3 linked regions of the Danio rerio genome follow. The protein of the gene in region 1 purifies or fractionates together with the protein of each later gene. This does not show direct contact. Links are inferred from orthologs where the notes say so. Each region holds a gene or a part of one and is shown in the gene's direction. Other genes may lie near its edges.

Region 1 (3,658 bases):
ATGCTTGTGCACATTTGCATATTGCAAATAACTAACAAGATATACAATTGAACCGTCATTTTCAGTTGAATTATTGCCCTCCTGAGTTATTAGCCTCTTGTATAATGTCCCCCAATTTCTGTTTAGGGGAAAAAATATATTTTTCAGCACATTTCTAAACAAAACAGTTTTAATAACTATTTTTTTTAATAACTGATGTATTTTATCTTTGCCATTATAACAGTACATAATGTCTTTTAGATATTTTCCAGATACTAGTATTCAGCTAAGTTTAAAGTTAAGACTTATCTAGGTTAATTAGACAAGTTAGGGTAAATAGGCAAATCATCATATAACTATAGTTTGTTCTATAGACATTCAAAAAATATTTCTGAAAGGGGCTAATACTTGTGATTAAAATGGTTTTAAAAAAATTAAACACAGCTTTAATTCCAGTCAAAATAAAACAAACAAGACTTTCTCTGGAAGAAAAAAATATTATAGGATAATACTGTGAAAGGTTCCTTGTTCTTTTAAACATAATTTGAGAAATATTTCAAAAAGAAACAAAATGCACAGCTGGGCTCATAATTCTGACTTTAACTGCATATGGTAATCTGAGAAGTGGAATTTAAATTGATGTTTTTTTTTAATTATTTTTTATAATGTTCACAGCCCTTTGGGACCTGATGCTTGAAAGGCGGATCAAAATGCAGAAAGCTCTTGTGACAGCCAATCAACTTCCACAACCACAAACATTCTCAGAGTTCAAGAGCAGGGGAGGGGCTGAATATGCTGATGCTTTGAAAAATAGTAAGTGAATTTACATTATTTGACTGAGAATTTATAATTAAAAACATGTTCAGTATCCTAACTATTTCCTATATGTTTCACATAAAATGAATAAAAATGTTAGGGGTTTTTATTGTATTATTGTATATTGTGTAAGTTAGCTACAAAACTGTTTAAAAATGTTGGAATTTGGAATATTTTATAATTTCTTTTCCAAAAGAAATTCATGCTCTTATTCTACAAGGATAAGTTAAATTAATCTGAAGTGACGGTGAGAGTTGTACTATTTATGAAATTGTTTGGTAAAAATGTTGGTAAAAGTTTGGTAAAAATGCTGTGTTTCTTTGAGTCTTTAAGGCCGTACTCACACCATGCACAGTTGCCTCGAACCAAGCCAAAGCACGCTTGTCCCCCTTCCCGTCTCCCCTGACTCACATTACAATCGCCTGGGCACGCTTACGCCATCGATGCTGCGATGTTTACTAAGTGCTCTTGCTCAGTGCAGTGGAGATTTCTGTAGTTATATTGTTTCAGTCGTTTGATATGCAGTGACACGCAGTCAAATATTTTGCCAAACAGTCCTAAGGGATACGGTAACATGCAGTCATATTTCGTCGAACAGATCCGCCACTTTTGTCGCTCATAAACAGTCATAAAGCCCTCGTGCTGCAGGAATGAGGAGGTTTGCTGAAGGTGCGCAGCTGTCTTGCAGTGAGGGGTTTCCGTCTTTAATAAACGACGGCAGTTTGCGTTCATTGAACAGTAAGATTGATTAATAAATCCATATGAAACAGTTTCTTAAGTCACGTCTCGCTTGCAGTTTCGGGCTTTGGCACGTTTTACACTCACACTACAAGCGAACCGCGCCAATGTGTGTATAGTCCATCCTGTCACAAAATGCAACGAAAATCCTACACGACGGTAATAGTTTGATTTAAGGTGTTTACATTTTTACATTCGGAGAGCAGCATTTACAGTGGATCTTTCAGTCCATAATATTGTAGTGATATTACTGTAAACTTAGGTATGTCTTTAAAAACTGTTGACAATACTAACTAGTTTTGCCTCTGAATAAACATAAACATAGAACACTGATTACACACATACCAAATCTGTAGTGGCAGGACAATTAACACCAATTGGAACCTCTTTTTTTTTTTTTTTAAAGGAGATAAGCGGCAAATCTGGAATTTACCATTTACAGATGTGAGAAGCACTCGGGTAGAATGTTTTTTGCAAACTTATTTTTGTCATATGTTAGCAGACCACTGTAAACAACACATATAAGTCCACATGCTGCGGTTTCATAGCCGGGAATTAAAAACAAAACCTTTGTTGCAGCACATTTATAAACGCAACACTGACGACCTGTGTCTCCAAACAATTATTCATCTTCCACTTGTTTAAATTACAGTTGTCAACACAATGTGGCGTTTTTCTGCCTTCTGAACACTGTAACAGGAAAAAACTCTATCATGTATATTAATGAAGTTGCCCCTCATACAAAATTGAGCGTGCTGATTGGTTCGAACCAAGTCTTTCTCATGAGTTAATGCTGAAAGCTCAAAGACGTCACGTTGTACCCGCCGGTACAGACATCCGGTCTACATCTGGTAATTTACACAGGGATCTCATGGCCGTGGTGCAGCTTCAAAATTGCTTTTCAAACCGGAAGAACGACTTTGCTCGAAATAACACAAAAAAAAACAAATTTCACTTTTTTTTGTGAAATATGTGTCTCCTTATAGTGTTTTTAGCATTGTGGGGCACGCAACATCTCAAAAAATGTGTTTTGGTCTTTCGTGACCCTTTAATTTGCCCTTTCAAGGCAAAGTTAAGGCCTTGAAAAGCTCTTTACCAAAGCAGAAGATTCTAAATTTAAAAAAGCTGTTTGCAATCTTTCTTGGTGTTTTTGAAAAATAAGAATCGCAAAATAAAGCAAACATTTTTGCTTTCGGAGTGTCCTTTTAATTGCCTAAAATGTTTTACAAATTTTTTTGACGGTATCGAGATTTATTGACTGAACACCATTGCCAGTAATGATTTAAAATAAAAAGTTTGCTATAAAGTTATGGTATGCAGCGCCATAGCTTTATTCAAATGTTGCTGCTGAGCGCGCACCTTCGAGGCAATGCCACTAAGCTTAGAGCTATTTCCAATTGAGGCGCATAGGGGTTGTGCATTTCCAGGTGCAACTAAAGTTGAAAACATTTCAGAATGCTACATGCACACTACGATTTTATGTAAGTAGAACTAACCAATCTGCTTCACACTTTGTATGCAATATACATATTTTGATAGTAATGACAGACTCTGACGAATGCAGAGCACTCAAACACTGCAGTGCTTTTTTATTCTCTTCATAAATACAAACTAGTGTAGGAACTGGAGCAAAAGTTTGTTTGTTTTGTTGACATCCGCTGAAAAAATGGCTAATGGTCACCTAGTTATGAGATACGCCAGAGGAATACAAGCACAAAGTGCATATTGAATGAAACTAAATTCACTTTCTCATGCTTTTCACATGCTTTTAGACACAACATGTGAAAGGAGTGCGGTTAGATTACGCCACCTCTGGCCAGAATAACAACACGTGAAAATTAGTGTCATGACAAGCAGCAATAAAGAGATTGTAAATTAAAAAAAAAAAAAGGATGCAAGGATGTCACCAGAGTGGCTTTTTGGTTTCTTTTCTTGTGCAATCCAGCCACAAGCGATCTAAAAGATATTTTGAAAGATATTTTATTATAGGGGGTAATGTAGTCATTCAACTTCACAATTTAAAATGTTGCTATATGTATTTAAATGATGTCTATTTCCTTTACTTGAAAGTTCAGGTTTGATTATCAGAATTTTAGTTTACAGAGTTCTTGGTTTACTGTATCAT
Region 2 (3,658 bases), on another chromosome or scaffold:
CTCCCGGGTACAGACATCCAGCCTACACGCTGGAATACATGCTAAGATCTCATGGCCGTGACGCAGCTTCAAAAATTCATTTTTAACCGGAAGTACAATAACACAAAAACAACCAATTTTCAGTTTTTAGTGAAATATATGTGTCCTAATAGTGTTTGTAGCAGCATGGGACACATATACGACTGTTAACAGCTCAAAAAATGTGTTTTGTTGTTTCGTGACCCTTTAAATGTCATGTATATCTGATATGCTAAGCTGTATTTTCAGCAACAATTACTCCAATCTTAAGTGGCACATGATTCTTCATTTTGATATGATGATTTGATGAAACATTTATCATTACAATCAGTGCTGAAAACAGTTAGTGTTTTTTTTTTTTTTTTTTTTTTTTTTTGGAAATTCCAAAAAAGTGTCAGATTTTCTAAAGTATATCTGTGAGAAATATACACAATATAATAATTGTGAAGTTAAACCGTGTATGCATTTACTTTCAACTTTAATCAAGTTAACATTTCCTTACAGAATTTAATTATTAAAATCTCTTTAAAAAATGTAATTTCTTTTTATTTTCACTGACGTTATAATTTACAGTGCTAATTCTTTAAACTTACATTTTACCATAAATTTTGCATATTTAAATTGGCCCTCTGTCACATCAATGTGTACACTTCATTTTTCATTTTTTTAGATCATTCTTAAATACTGAGATGGCATATTGAGCCAACATCCAAAATAAGAACAGTTTAAGTATGTTTTGTGAAGTAGTATGTTTGTTGATGTTGATGTCCAGGCTGTCAGTCTGCTGGAGGAGGTGGTTTCTCCAAGGAAAGATCTGCCACCACTGCTGTTGAAGCTGAATGAAAGGAGAGCTGAGCGGCTGGATTACCTGGGAGTTTCTTATGGCCTCACTCCTCAACTACTGAAGTCAGTCCCTTCATGCAAACAGACACTATAGTGATATTGCTACAAGCAGTGTTGGGGAAGGTTACTTTTAAAAGTAACATTATAATCTCTTATTAATTTTTAAAGTATCTAAATATGGTACTTAGTTACTTTTTAACGACTTGTTAAAGTTACTTGTGAAGCCGTGGTCACTGCACTTTTCGATCATTAGACTTCTATTGATACACAAACTCTAGTGTGACTGTGGCTTACATTTTTTTCAACTGGACTGGGCTGCTTGTTAATAATGCTTTTAGTAATATAAAAAAGTGTATTTTTTAAATTGTAAAGCCCTCTTACACCAAAAGTAAAATGTGAATAAATCTTTTTACATCATACACAACCCATCTGGGGAACAAAAGAGCTGTCAGCCAGTAAATGGCGATTCATTTATTTATTTATTTAAAAAAAAAAAACTCCCTATATTTTCTTGAAAATTAATAGTAATGTTACTTTACGTAATAAACGTAATAAAACTACATGATATATGTGTTACCCCCAACAAGTAATGCAACATTATTACAAAACTCTTTTCAAACATATTGTCTCTGGGTTTCCCTTTTAGATTCTGGAAAAAGGCTGGATTTGTTCCTGTTTATTTGAGACAGACTCCGGTGAGCTTGCAGCTTTTTTTTTTTTTTAATTGAAGTCATGTCAGGGTTGTTTATCTTGCTCTAAGTTTGTGATATTTTTGTTATATCATGACCTCTAGAATGACCTGACAGGCGAGCACTCCTGCATTATGCTCAAAGACCTCAATTCTGAAGATTCAACAGACCAGAACCAGTGGCTCTCTGCTTTTTGGAAGGGTAACTATTCATTATTTCTTTTATCGTTTTGATTGGTCAACTGGACCATTCATATTAAAGTATCAAGTACTGCAGAGTGTTCTGTGAGGCAATTTACATATTGTATTAAGATGTATATCTGTTTAAAAGTGGATGATTCTGAATACAGGTGTAGGTCAGCTCAGAAAGGTTTTAGCCTGTTCACTTTTGACCAATTCCAGAGCTTCATTGAAAACGCGTCTTACTAAATGCCGTTTTAATGTGTTCAAAATGCCACAAATTCCAGCTACTTTCACTGTACTAAATGCATTCTTTAACTTTACGGGATATGTTAAAGCGCACTAGTCAGATTTAAACTTTGTGGTCTGAAATCATAACTTTTGGTTTGATGGTAAACCCCCACCCCCACCCCCTAAAAAACAACAAGATTGTAGGCATAACTGCAATTATGAGGAAATTAACTACAATCCCATGAAAAACGACTGACAAATGTTAAAATATTTAAAGTTGCTGAGTATATCCATATAAATAATATATTTCAATTTAATTTTAAAATGTAAATGTAAATATATTTAACTTCTTTGCTCTCTGATTGGTGGATTTGTTCTGTTTTATTTTCCTGTTCAGCATCATGGAAAATGTAGTCATTCAACAGAAATGCAGCTTACTAAACAACATAGTAAAAAAAAAAAAAAAAAAAAAACTCAGTTATCAACCTCAAAACTCACTGCAGATTTGCAATTTTTCTGTCACAATAAACAGAATGGAGATTTTTCTTTTCAGAATTTGACTGTTGCACTCTCTAATACATTTAAGTGTCACTATTATCTATTTACTTCTGATTTGTAAGATTGACATGTTTTGTGTTGGACAGATTTCCGGCGGAGGTTTCTCTCGCTGATGTCCTTCCAGTTCAGCAAATTTAGTTCGACTCTGGCTCTAAATATACTACAGAACAAGAGCGCTAAAGATGACAGCACGGCAGGTACAGACCCATATCTGCCTCCTACATGCTGTATGTGTGTGTGTTTGTTGGTTAAAGATAGATCTTCATGTGTATTTGTTTTTCAGTTCTCACAAGTGCTGAACTCGCAGCCACCTTCACTCCATATGACCTGAAGCGTTTGGAGATGTATTCCAGAAACATGGTGGACTATCACCTCATCATGGACATGATTCCTGTTATTGCACGCATGCACTTCCTCAAACAGTTTGGTGACATCTCACTTTCTGTGGCCCAGAGTGTAAGTCAGTTGTATGTTTCTTTGAAGTTTAGTTGTAGGATTCTTTTTAGAGCAAAGAATGTTCATTAGCATATGTAATTTTAGGGTTTAAACATTTTCAATCTTCCTTTTGTAAAAAAATATTATTAATAAGTAATAAATATCAGTAAAGGTATTCATACCTTGGCATCATTGCATAACTAATGTAGTTTATAAAGTTTTAATTATTTTCAAAATTATTATTATTAATATTTTTAGTATTATCATTTATTTATTCATTTATTTATTAAACAAATTAAAAAAAGTTTTAATTTGTCTTTTTTGTGGGTTTGCATAATTTTTCTTATTTGTTTTTCCATGTCTCTAGTTTAATCTAATTGTTATTATAATTTTATTTAAGCTTCATTAAGTTATTCGATAAATTCATAAAGTAGGTCGTAGTTTGATTGATTTCATATTTATTATTGTACTAAAACTGTCAAGACAGTTTTTACTTTAGATTATTATTTTAGATTTATAGATTACATTTTTTGTAACCATTTTTTTAAAGTAATTGTTTACATATTTTAATTCTCATTTTAGTTCAAGTTTGTTTAATTTTAAATAAAAAAATAATGGAAACTAATCTCTTGGCTGATTAAAAATAATAAATAAAAACTAAACTATCTTTTTTTATTAAGTTTTATTTAAAAAAATACAGTATTA
Region 3 (4,201 bases), on another chromosome or scaffold:
TTCTATGAAAGGTTCTTTATGGTTGGAAAACCTCTTTAGATTTGGCTAAAATGTTCTTCATACTTATGTTATAAAGGAATATTTTAAGAACTGTTCACTGAAGCCATTGATTAAACGTTATTTTTAAGTAGGTCGAAATGAATCATGATTTGATGATCACATTTTGCATTGTGTTTAGTAACTCACATTGTCTATCAGTGTGGTTGATTCTGCTCCGGCAGTCTCACAGATGCTGATGAGACTGGTGTAATATGGAGTCCTGCGCCATCTTCTGGTAAAAGGCAAAACTGAAGGACAGTCGAAAATCACACAATAATTTAGAATAGTTTTGAACTGTAAATTAACAACAAAAAAGTAGATGCAAACAGTAAGAACTAGTTACATTTTAGTTTTATAATATTGCGAAAACGAATCATGATTTTACTACAATTAGTAGAAAATAATTAGACGGCTAATAGACGTCTTTTAAACCATGATGCTTCCTGAGTACTAGATCAATAGAATTATTTATCTGGGTTCCAGCACATGTTGGAACTTTAGGGAATGAAGAAGCAGATGAATAGGCAAAGGAGGCCACAAAAAATAAATAAACAAATAAATAAATCAGAAATTGACATGTTTTTAAGAACTGGGAAAATGAAATGAAGACAATTATTCGACAATATGTGAGGGAAAGATGGCAAAAGAAATGGAAGGAAGAAGGAAGGTGGTAATATGTGATCCAGAGGATGGTGGGTAAAAACAGAAATAGGGAAAAATAGATGCGAGGAAACCATCATGTCAAGGTTAAGGTTTGAGCATACTGCTCTGAATAGTGGACTGTTTAGAATAGGAAAACATCCAAATGGACTTTGTATTAATTGTGATGAAGAGGAAAGTATAGAACATATCATAAAGAAATGTCCATTATATAAAAGGGAACGGAAAATGATGATAGACACTGAGGAAAATAAGGTAAATCTAAATATTAATAGTATGTTAAGTAGTAGAGTAGGAGATAGTAAAATGAAAGCTTTTTATTTGTTAGAGAAACTGGGTTGTATAATATGCTAGACTATAGTCTAAAGTTTTAGTCTATAGTTTTAGACTATCAGTCTAAACCCTGTTTAAAACACATCAGCCACGAATTGCTTAAAACCCGTTTAAAGCCCAGCGTAAAACCAGCAGTAAATCGTCTTACGTTGATTAAAAATGCTATTATAAATGAAACAAATTACATCAAATTGACGCTGTAAATGCTCCAGAAAACCGTTTGTAGGTCCTTTTACAAGTGTCTATGAAAAGCAACATGTATATAATAATCAAATCACATTTAAACCGTCCTGTCAGCCTTTGGTAAAACTGTTGGTCGAGACGAATTTTCCCGAATTGCCTGCTTTGAGTTTTGTCCCCACACGCTTTCCGTATCAACTTTGCTTAATTCAAAATGGCGGCCACCGCAGTTGGAAACGTGAGTTTATCTTTAATTAGTTTCTTTATTCTTTAGTCAAACCTAAACATAGACGATTGAAGTTTAGTATTTTATTACATTTCTATTATACTGTCATTTAATGTACTTTTATTTTCCAGTTAAGATGAGTAAAACTGGACATTGGATTACACGATAGCCTTTTAGAAATTTATTTACTTTTGTATATTTATTTATTTATTTATTGCTTGTAGGATGTTATAGACCGTGATCTTCCGACTGCTGTCCGTCTACTTAACAGTCTCACCGAACAGGTCTGTAATTTCACAAAATGTAATATTTTGATGGTTATTTTTGAGAACTGTCTGCATCACAATTACACGTTATATTTTATATTGAGTTAAAGATGGTTTTATTTTCGCACATTCAGACTTTCATCTCAATAATAACATTTCAGAAAAGTATTATTTGCCAATCCTAAAGAGTGAAATTTAATAGAAGCCAATGACTATCAAAGTACAACACTGTTCAGTAGTGCTAATGTTGTTTAAGTCATATTTACGCTGGGTTTTTAGTCTGAATATTCAAAGTACCAAACAATATATGGAGCGTGTCACAGGTTGTCACTAAACGATACCAACTTTTAAAGTACCAACTTTACCTCAATAAACCAAATTAGCAGCCAATGACTATCAAGGTACAACAGTGTTCAGTCAATTAAATAGTGCTAATGTTGTTTTAAAGTCATACTACACGCAATTTCAGACCGAATATTCAAAGTAAATATAGGAACATTCACAAATTGTCACTGTTCAAGAATGAACAAATGTGCGAATATAAAACCAACTTTACCTGTTTGTATTTTATGGACAATGGGATTACACATTATTTACACAATCAAGTATACTATTTGTAATGTATTGGTTCTTATGCTTTTTTATATCATTTAGTCAAATTCTGGGTTTGTTGATCACGCCTTTCTAGACTTTATTCATTTTAAACAGCTCAATTTGTTTCTTTAAGAAAAAACTGATGGTAAATTCAACAGTATTTAATTACAAATTGCATTAGATGTAAGTTCAAACTGTTTGAGTTATTCATCGTATATAGTAAAGCCATTGTTCACTTTGGTTGTTGATTACTTTAGTATTGTTACAGTCTTTTAACATCATTTTTATGGTGCTTTTAATTTGTTATCAGTAACAGACTAATCTTTAGGTAATACAGCTAGCACACTAGATGAACATGGAGATGTGATGATGCTGTTTGATATTTTCAGATTGTTTCAGTCACCAGTCATGTTCGGGAGCTTATAAAGAAAGTCAGAGAGAAAGCTTACCAGACTTCCAAGGTAAATGTTGTCTCTGGTAAAAAAAAAAAAAAAAAAACTTTACCGCAATTATGTGCATGACTTGATTATTTTTTTCTGTTTGCTTTAGGGTTTGTCTTTTCTGGACTTGAGATATCATCTGTTACTGTTTTATCTGCAAGACATCACTCATTTGATCAGTTTGAAGACAGAAGGAGAAAGTCTGAAGGACAACAGTGCTATCCACAGACTGGTCACCATACGGACAGTAAGGCACAAACCTTGTAAAGCACAGAGCAGTGTCAGAGACTGTGTTTATGCAATTTAAAAAAAAAAAAAAAAAATATATATATATATATATATATATATATATATATATATATATATATATATATATATATATATATATACATATTTATATATATTTATATATATTACTATATTGTTTTTTTTAGACTGGCATTTCCGCATTAGAGTACTTTCATTCAAAATTATGAAATTTGTAATATTTAATAAGTATACTTTTTAAGAAATCTATTGGACTTTAATGAATGTAGGAAGTATTTTTATGAATTGAACTAAGTTAAAGGGATATTTAAAAAAGTTTTACCAAAGCAAATTGTAGAATTTTTATCATATATTAATATGAAAAATGTTATCTAATTTATTTTGTGTTTATTTGTTTGGTATTAAGTTGTATTTTTTTTTTCTGAATAGATTTTTATTGCCATAAAAACATTGTTGCTGACATGGCATTAAATAAAAATATATGATATTATAAGAAATAAAGTTCACTTAAAATGACAAGAAACTGTGGTAAAAAGACAGTTCATGCATTGAAAACCATTACTCTGTTTGATATGTGAACACCAATGCAAAAATTTCAAACTTTTTAATTTTTTTAAGTTAACTATAGATTTATTTATTTGATGCCATCTGATGAAGCTCCGAACATCTCTGATGTGTGCATATATACACATATCGGATGTTAAAAGAACAGCTTTGTCTAAAATAGAAAATAATACAATTTTCAAAAAAAAAAAAAAAACTTTTAGGGTCATTTCAAGTATTTTTTTATATTTATGAAATGAATGACATCAGTACAGGTCATGTGATAAATGAAAACACTAATGTTTAAACCTGCTACTCTGGAAAAGAGACTGGACTACCACTAACAGGTTTGATGATTTCAAGATAATTGCTAGCAAGTTAAAAAGTATGCTGTAATCTTTGAAATGATTGCTTGGAGATATTGTAAGATATCGCAATCTTATAAAGTCCTACAATACAAGCTCTAGTTTTACCCTATATAAGATCAATATTTTAATGTGACATTGGTGTTATAAAACTATCAGAAACAAACATCTCTTAATAGCATTGTTCTGTGCCTTCTAATTATTTACTTTTTTTCTTTGATTTTTGGTTGCATTCATTTTTGTATATTAGCTTTAGAAATGGATGAAAATAATGTGTAATAAAGACAT

The links.
Region 2: the proteins of aatf (region 1) and nat10 purify together in Homo sapiens (affinity purification with mass spectrometry; 3 studies listed by BioGRID and IntAct, with this or other methods). This does not show direct contact. The link is inferred for Danio rerio from reciprocal best matches to the Homo sapiens genes AATF and NAT10.
Region 3: the proteins of aatf (region 1) and ngdn purify together in Homo sapiens (affinity purification with mass spectrometry; 3 studies listed by BioGRID and IntAct, with this or other methods). This does not show direct contact. The link is inferred for Danio rerio from reciprocal best matches to the Homo sapiens genes AATF and NGDN.

The regions. Positions count from the first base shown.
Region 1 is NC_133180.1:61,611,005-61,614,662, forward strand, and holds part of aatf (protein AATF), read left to right. Parts: intron 1-654; coding exon 655-792; intron 793-3,658. UniProt on the Homo sapiens protein: Part of the small subunit (SSU) processome, first precursor of the small eukaryotic ribosomal subunit.
Region 2 is NC_133193.1:41,151,068-41,154,725, reverse strand, and holds part of nat10 (RNA cytidine acetyltransferase), read left to right. Parts: intron 1-790; coding exon 791-924; intron 925-1,507; coding exon 1,508-1,556; intron 1,557-1,654; coding exon 1,655-1,751; intron 1,752-2,604; coding exon 2,605-2,715; intron 2,716-2,801; coding exon 2,802-2,974; intron 2,975-3,658. UniProt on the Homo sapiens protein: RNA cytidine acetyltransferase that catalyzes the formation of N(4)-acetylcytidine (ac4C) modification on mRNAs, 18S rRNA and tRNAs.
Region 3 is NC_133199.1:16,007,416-16,011,616, forward strand, and holds the start of ngdn (neuroguidin), read left to right. Parts: upstream 1-1,366; 5' UTR 1,367-1,426; coding exon 1,427-1,450; intron 1,451-1,662; coding exon 1,663-1,722; intron 1,723-2,687; coding exon 2,688-2,759; intron 2,760-2,847; coding exon 2,848-2,985; intron 2,986-4,201. UniProt on the Homo sapiens protein: Part of the small subunit (SSU) processome, first precursor of the small eukaryotic ribosomal subunit.